2 linked regions of the Sus scrofa genome follow. The protein of the gene in region 2 interacts with the protein of the main gene of each other region in a biochemical or structural test. Links are inferred from orthologs where the notes say so. Each region holds a gene or a part of one and is shown on either strand. Other genes may lie near its edges.

Region 1 (4,495 bases), on a different chromosome or scaffold from region 2:
CTTTCTCACCCTCGTCTACCCTGGTCGACACACAGCCACGAACCCTCCAACCCTCCGAGGGCACGAGCCGTTGGGGAGCTACCACCTGGGCCCCCGCCCCTGCTGAGCCCGCCCTGCACGCGGCGCTGAGGCTGCGCCCGGAGGGCCTGGCGCTCAAGGTCAGGACGCTGAGCGCGGGGCTGAGCGTGGGCTGTGGCGGAGGACACGGCCCCGCGGGCAGGAGGACACGGCTCTCCCTATCGCCACGGCCTGGAGCTCCCGGACGCTGGCTCGGAGCCCTCCACATGGCCGTGGGCTCCTCCCCAGCGGGGACCGGGCGCTACGACCGAACACGACGTGGCACGTGCAGGTCTTCCTGAAGCAGAACTCGGGGGGTGAGGGCAGGGAGGTCTCCTCCCAGCAAACCCCAAATCTGAGACATGCTCAGGGGAGACTTACTCCAGGGACACACACCCGTCACAACCGGGAACGTGGGGGACACGCCACCAGGTGCTGCACGGGGCTTCACTGTGGCGGGTGGCTAGAAACAGACAGCGCGTCCCAGCACAGGCGGGAGCAGGGGCGGGGGTGTGGCGGTGGGGGACGGCCAGGCCGGGACCCAGGCCGTGCCCTCAGCCCTCAGGTAAGCTTAGAGGCGGCCCTGACGCAGCCTGACACGTCTCCACCTGAGCAAGGTCTGGGGTGATGCCGAGTGGGCGTCTGGCCTGCCGAGAAGTGGGGACCTGGGGACACCCATCCGTGGTGGGTGGACGTGCTCGGCCGGGGGTGCTTCTGCCCAGGCCCGGAGCCCACACCAGCCATACCACCAGAGGCCCCTCGTGGTCAGCCGGGGCCTGAGTCGGCTCAGGCCTCGGCTGCACTGGGCTCGGCCCTGAAGGCAGGTTTCTCCTCACGCGCCTCACCCACCGGTCGCTGTGTCTGGCCCACACACCGTCTAGACCCCTGTACGGGGCCGAGTCTCCCCCGTGTGGCTGGCACCTGGCTCCCACGCCCGTGTGGTTCCAGTACAAAACACAGACATGCTCATACAGCTGCATCCACAGAGCGAGACAGTCGCTACGCTGAGAATAGAACCAAACCACGTGCAGCTCTAAGACCCGCACTGCCCCCCGGAGGCCCGGGCCGCGGGCACCCGCCGTTCCCGTCCACAGTCGGTGACGGCAAGTCGGCCTGCACAGAGTACAACGGGAAACATCAGAAACGCTCTCCAGGTTGTTAAAATATCACATAAAAGAGACAGGAAACAGCAAGGAAACATCTAAGAAAAGCAGGCTGCAGTACAACAGGCATCGTTAAGAACAGCTCAGAGGTGCATTAGTTCTGGTGAGAGATATATGAGCAGCAGCTCTTACGAGAGGTCGAGCCCATCCTGTAACTATGGGCTGTCCATACACTGTCATAGTCAGAGTCTTCCGAGAGGTCTGAGGGCTCCAAGCGAGAAAGGCTGCTGCGACGACCCAAGGAGTCTAGACTTGATTGGTCATCATCAGCCAAGACGTGATTATGCATCAGGTCAGTGCCTTGCCATGCTACGACGGGGCGGGGGCGGGGGCGGAGGGGGGGGGGACAGGCGGGGGGGGGCGGGAGGACGGCAGGAAGAGCCACAACCAAAACGTGAAAACAAAAGCAAAAGGTGATGGGAAGAGAAGGGAAAGAGAAAATATTGTTAAAAAATGCAACAACATTCATTTCTCCTCATTCATGGCTGGACTGTAATAACGAGCTCATTAATTAGCACAACCCTCAGAGTAAAGCGAGAGCAATTACTATTTCAACCCAAGTCCCCGAACCATCTCCAAACTGCTCTTTGTGACACTCTTGCTCTTAGGCCCTCACTGCATCGTTTTATGACAAATTAAGCTCACGTCCACAAGAACATTCTGAAGACATGTGACAGTGAGCAAGCCTGCTGCACAGCTGAGTAACAAACTGTCTCGGTTGGGAGCATTTACAGGGTCACTGTGGATACGCCGAGTGCAAAACACTTCCCAGGAATCTGTGACTTACTTCTGCAGCAGGCTCTCTGCCAGACTCCATCCAAATCAGCAGAAGCCATTTTAAAGAGGGGGGGGGGTCCCAAACTTACCTTATGGGGGTGACACAGGCCCACTGCCCCTGGCTCCTCCAGCCGCAGGGTGGGCCCATCCCCAGCCCCAGGGTGCTCACCAGCCCTTGGCCAGGGTGAGGGACTGGGGGGAGGGGACACATCTGCTCAACGCCACCGACCTGACACGGACACTCCCCGCAGCACAAAGGGAGACGCGACGGTAACGCCTCTACGGCAGGAAAAGGGCGGAGGGACGTGGGGAACAGAGAGGAGCCCATGTGGCAGGTGACGGTGAGCAGTGACACTGGCCCGGCAGCAGTGGGTGGGCACCTGGGTGGGCTCCGCACAGCAGCACCGGCTCCTCCTGTGCCTGGTCTCAGAGGTAAAGCTGTTCCAAACCACACAAGGGCAAGCAGCCGGCTGACTCGGATTTCTTCGCCTAAATCCCTACTGTCTAGGAAGCCGTTACATCCTTGAGCAAGGAATCGCTACCAAAGCCGCCTGCCCGATGAAGCCTTCTTGGCATCCTGAGTGGAGGTGGACTTGGGGTTAGACAGATCCGCCGTCTTTACTGTACATCCGAGACCGAAAGCTCCTCTGCCCGATCCGTCTCCAGACATCTCAGCTCCACCCCCTTTTCCAGCACCGAGGACCCATCTCCCCCACCTGCCCCTGAGAAGGCCACGTTTGAGGCCAGCTGCAACTGCACGCCCTCGGGGGCCCCAGAGTGCTCAGCCCATAAGATCGACTAAAGACCAAAGTGCATGCACTGGCCAGTGCTTTCCTTCAGCAGGAGAAATGGACACACAACACAGACACCAAGATGAGACCTGCGTACACCAGGGCCCCGTCTCTTGCACGAAGAAACACACGCAGCGCTGGCATCACCCGTTCTGCTCTGTGAGACGACCATCAGCTTAAAATTTCATTTCAAATAGCTGAAGTTGAGAGGAGTAATTCTTTTAAAGTCTCAAATTCAAAACCGAAAAAAACCACGGTCACATTTCCCAGCCTGTTACTCAGCATCCTGTCTCTTAGTGACTGCATGGAACAGTCGCGTCTTAAATGACAAGGACGGTCACAAAACTACCACTCCATCGTCTGCAGACTCACGCCATGGTGAGGCCTTTCCAGGTCCTCCTGCCCCGGACTGGTCACCAGGGACAGGCTTTCTCACCAGAGAACGGACCGAACATCCAAGGGCGTCATCACGGGTGGACACATAAACTCCTGGCCATAAACGAGTTTCCAGATGGGGAGGGGGACACCGGGGCCCCCAGCGCCAGCAAAGGAAGCTCTGGCCTCCTCCTGAACAAACCACATGCACACCCCATCTGAGGCCTCGCCACCCTGTGCTCAACTCCCAAATGCTGGGGAAATTAAAACAGAAAAGCGTCCTCTTCTCACTGTTCACTCAACAGATACAGACTTTTTTCACCTAAGACACTGCGCCCAGTGAGATGCAGGTGAATTCAATGGTACCCATCTCAAAAACTTCTCAATGCAATCATTTTTAAAAGGGGGAGTTGGCTAAAAGAACTTACTCTAGGCTTTTTTTTTTTCTTTTTAGGGCCGCACCTGCGGCATATGGGCCAACTGAAGCTGTAGCGGCCGGTCTACACCACAGTCATAGCAACGCCAGTTCCAAGCCGCATCTGCAACCCACACCACAGCTCACGGCAACACCAGATCCTTAACCCACTGAACGAGGCCAGGGATCGAATCTGCATCCTCATGGATAGTAGTTGGGTTCGTTACAGCTGAGCCACAAAAGGAATGGCCTAGGCTTATGTTTTTGGCAACAATTCTAAGTAGCCAGAAACCAACACACCACCGGCACACTCTGAGCTGACAGACTCCCCCCACTGCCTTCTAAGCCTGACAGGGTTTCTAAATCTGGCCGGCCCTTACACCTCAAGGTTTCCCAGTGGAGCGCTTGTTAGAAATCAGCTCTTTTACTGAACAGCTCAGGCCCATCCCCACGATGCAGGGGTGCTGGCCGAGGATGCGCCCCCATGAGGGACGGACTGCTCAGCCGAGCCAGTCCGGGGCCCCGGCCGTCCCTGGGCACTCACTCGAGTTGAGCGTCTGGCGCGTCTTGGCGCTGGTGCAGTAAGCCTCAATGACCTTCAGGATCTGGGCGTCCTCCTCCAGCGCAGCCGTGCCTGCAAGGACACACGACACGTCACCGGCCAGAAACAACCAGCACAGGTAACCCAGGAATGCGGATCATTAACCAATGACAGGGACAGCTTACAGGTGTTTTCCAATAGTCACAAAACAGTTACATCCTAAAGGACTTTTGTTTGTTTCTGCTGTTGTGTTGTCTTTTTAGGGCCACACCCGCACATATGGAGGGTCCCGGCTAGGGGCAGAGTTGGAGCTGTGGCTGCCGGCCTACACCACAGCCACAGCCACACTAGGTCTGAGCCGCATGTGCGACCTGCA
Region 2 (3,860 bases):
TCACCAATCTCCAACTAACCAAAAAACATTTCCATCCCAATGCCTTCCTTCAGAAGTAAAAAACAGTAATTCAAGGTAAACCTACACTTTCTTCATATCATAAACTTAAGTGTTTAAATAGTCAAAGAAGATAACTGTATGTATTTCTTTTTATGACAATTCTTCTCACCCTGAATTTCATAATCACAATTTGGGATGTTGTATAAATGCTAATAAAATATTATATAACTGCTAATGGGATTTTAAGCACAGCAAATACTTAAAAGTTTAGCTCTGTTCAAGGCAATGTTTGTATTTAAAGAATTTTTCAACTATATGCACATCTTGAAGTCCTAAGAAGTCATAAAAATATTTACAAAATAAATATGTAGTGGATTTTATAATGTCATGGACTCAGAGAAACCAATGATTCCTTAATGAATCAGCATAAATCTTTAGTTTGTGTAAGTAATTTTGTCCTAGACATATAATCCTCTAAACACTAAAAATATGACAACTTTGGTTTTGATGGTTTGCTATATAATACTTACTAAAAATAAGTATGTCAATTATGGGTATGGGCCTTAACTACAAATTACTCAATAATATATAAAAATGTCTTCTCTATTTTCTCAAAATATTTAAATTATTACTCTTTCAAATGTTGAAATTTTATCATTTCTAAAATAAAAATTCTAATGAAGAGTTCTTGTTATTTAACTTTATCCAGTATTTTAGAAGAAAACTTGGGCTATTTAAGCGTAAAACTATCTTGCTATTAGTTTTTTGTTATGTGTCATGCTACTCATCTTGGTAACAAGCTTTCTTACTTGACATTATGAGTTAAGAGAACATTAAAAAATTTTAAATTAGAATAAAGTACTAGTGCATATCACAGTTGTTGCACTTATAATATTTCAATATAATATACAGGCAACTAACTTAAGTTCAGATCACTGATGAATCAATTGTTCTTTGTGGCTTATTTCCTTTTCCAAAATTATAGTCTGTGTATGTGATTCAAGATAAAGAAGTTGAAAATGTCAAATTATACCTATCTCATGTATTAAAAACAGAATGTAAATGTGAAAAACTGACTGAGAACAATAAAAAATGGAAATAATTTCAGAATGCCAGAATTAAAGAATGAATAAAGGGAACACGAGGCTTGTCTTAAAGAAGCTGTTTGTCATTCTTTTTTTTTAAAGAGATTACAGCACACATACAATAAATGAATTTTATCAAAATACAGCACATTTCTTCTACTATATCCATAAAAATCAATTCCTATGTAAATAAGTACTGAAAATCAACTAAAATGAGTTAAAATTTACAAAGAGTTGTTAAAGGGTTTCAATCAATATTATTAAAACTATACAGTACAATAACCAATTGATAACATCTTGAAAGAAGTGCAGTATTGGAGTTCACATCTTTTTAAAAGTACTGCCTATTTACTCTGACTAGCAAGAGACAAACGAGTCCAACTCACTTTTGCAAAAATAATACAGATTGCTGTTTTTGCTAGTCCTATAAAAGTCTTAATTAAAACAAGGTTGAAGAACAAAGCGTAACAGATTAAAAATTCCAAAATTATATTTCTTAGTAATTAAAAATGAATCGCAGTAACTGAATATTGCTCCAATGAAAGGCTCCAAACTAGCCTCGACTAAAAACAGTTATTGGTCTTCTATGGCACTTTTTTCTGGTCCAAATAACCATGCATTAATGCTTACCATTGCATGTTACTCAAATTTTATTTGATTACACAGACAGAACAAAAACAAAATTAATGGTCTGAACAGACAAAATTATTAAACCTCTATCAAATATTTGTTACACTAACGAGGAACAAAGGCAGCTGGTGGTAAAACACTATTACACTGATGCACTTAGAAACCCTTTAAAGACTCTGAAGTGTTGAGTTCACATTTAATGTTACCTGTAGGAACAGCCCTTTATTTGAACACCTTTACACACTGGTAGGCCTCAAGGACCCACCCCTTTGCTCTACAACTTTCCACAGCAATTCTCTATCACTGTGCCAGTTTCACAAACTTGCTTTGGTTTCCTAGCTCCATTCTTACTATTTCCTTTTACTTTACCAAGGCAATGTGAGGCCAAACGAAATCAAGAGGCTTTCCTAAATCTTCTTACATTTTTTGTTACAGCAACACAATCTTAAAACTGGCCATCTTAGTTTCATTTGTTGCTTAAAATAAAAATTATAAATTAAGATTAAAATGGAGTACTAATTATAAAACAGATTGCAAGTACCACCATTTGCAAAAAAAAAAAAAAAAAAAGAAGGGATTTCCACATCACAGAAAATGCATGGACAAAAAAATGAAAAAAAAAATGTGTGGACATGCATCTACAGAAGAGTTAAAAATTTCCTGTGACTAAAAAATTAAAAATTGAATCACTAGTAACAAATGTATATAGTCAATGGCTATGACAAGAACAGATCTTGCAGAGCTCTTAAAATGCAATTATTGTCTTTTTTTCTTTAAAAAGACATTATATTTTTATTGCATTATTCTATTAATAAAAACACATTAAGAGTGTTCCCCTCCCATTTTTTGCTTCCAGATTTTTATAGGAAATAACTGTTTTAATCTGGCCTTGGAAAGTGAACCCACCAGCACCACCTTCACCTACTCACTCTTCAATTCAATATGCACATAGCAAAAGCCAACACTTCAAATCTCTTGCCCACATTAAAAAAAAAAAAAAAAAGGTAATTTCAGCAGAAAAACATTAATACCAGCTGAATAAAAATGAGGGCATAAAAGCTATGAGATAGATAGCTCTGCCATCTGTCTCTGGGCTACAATCAAGGCTAACTAGAGCCTTGCAGAGTTCAATCATGTGTATGAAATCCAAAAATAAACCTACCATCTATACAAAAACAACATACATTTGTTTTTGTAGCCTTGATTGCTATGTTTAAAAACCTAACAACAAGTTTTATATGGTATGAATTCAAGAGTCTCCCCTATATACTGTACAGTGGTTCTTTCCCTCTAACCACAAGTTCCATTATTTCATTAATGTACAAATTTGAACATAATTTTTTGAGTTCTTTATATATAAAAATAGCCAAAATATTAATTCCCCCCACAAGAATCTTCCAATAAATCTTGCTGTCTCTTGAGAGCCGTTTTTTTTAGTCCATGGTTCTTATGAGGAAACCTCTCTTAGAACAATGAGTTCTACTGTGTTCTGGAAAGTTTTTAGCAAGGACACTGCTTGCCCATGTTCAATATTGATAAAACTGTAGCCATTAGCCTAGAAGAAAAAAGAAAAATGGTTAAAAAAAAGTCACAGTAATTTATTTACATTTGTGCACTTAAATTTCTGCCAGATAGTCTGCAAACCTGGCAGAAAATAAGACTCATCTTGGCACTTTATTTATTTATTTATTTAGGCCACTTCCATAGCAGGCCAGAGATCAAAACCAAGTCATGGCAGTAATCCAGGCCACAACAGTGACAATGCCAAGTCCTTAATCACCAGACTACCAGGGAACTCCTACATTGGCAATTTAAAACATCTAGATTCCTGGGCTCTACCCCATAATTACAGAAATTAAATCCCTACAGGTGGGTCTCAGGAACCAATACCTTGCCCATATTTTCAGATGATTCCCATAAATCAGCCTGACATTAGGAAGCACTTGTTTAAGGCACAATGTCAGACATGATGGGCACTGAGATTACCAAGTTGCAGGGGTGGTAGAGGTCAAGACCTAGTCTTCCCATTGCCCAGGAGCTACCAGATCAAAAACACTACACCTCTTATATAACTTAGGCTAAACATTTAATAATGTCTTACTATATACTAGACACACAGTTCTAAGTGCTTTTCATGAATTAAAT

Evidence for each region. The genes of interacting proteins can lie anywhere in the genome.
Region 1: the proteins of ERBIN (region 2) and ARHGEF7 interact in a test that uses a peptide from one of them, tested with the Homo sapiens proteins (2 studies listed by BioGRID and IntAct). The link is inferred for Sus scrofa from reciprocal best matches to the Homo sapiens genes ERBIN and ARHGEF7.

Annotation. Positions count from the first base shown.
Region 1 is NC_010453.5:77,517,145-77,521,639, reverse strand, and holds part of ARHGEF7 (rho guanine nucleotide exchange factor 7), read right to left. Parts: intron 4,213-4,495; coding exon 4,123-4,212; intron 1,530-4,122; coding exon 1,353-1,529; coding exon of another isoform or gene 1,315-1,352; exon of another isoform or gene 1-1,314. UniProt on the Homo sapiens protein: Acts as a RAC1 guanine nucleotide exchange factor (GEF) and can induce membrane ruffling. Functions in cell migration, attachment and cell spreading. Promotes targeting of RAC1 to focal adhesions. May function as a positive regulator of apoptosis.
Region 2 is NC_010458.4:44,530,641-44,534,500, reverse strand, and holds the end of ERBIN (erbin), read right to left. Parts: intron 3,271-3,860; coding exon 3,163-3,270; 3' UTR 1,148-3,162; downstream 1-1,147. UniProt on the Homo sapiens protein: Acts as an adapter for the receptor ERBB2, in epithelia. By binding the unphosphorylated 'Tyr-1248' of receptor ERBB2, it may contribute to stabilize this unphosphorylated state.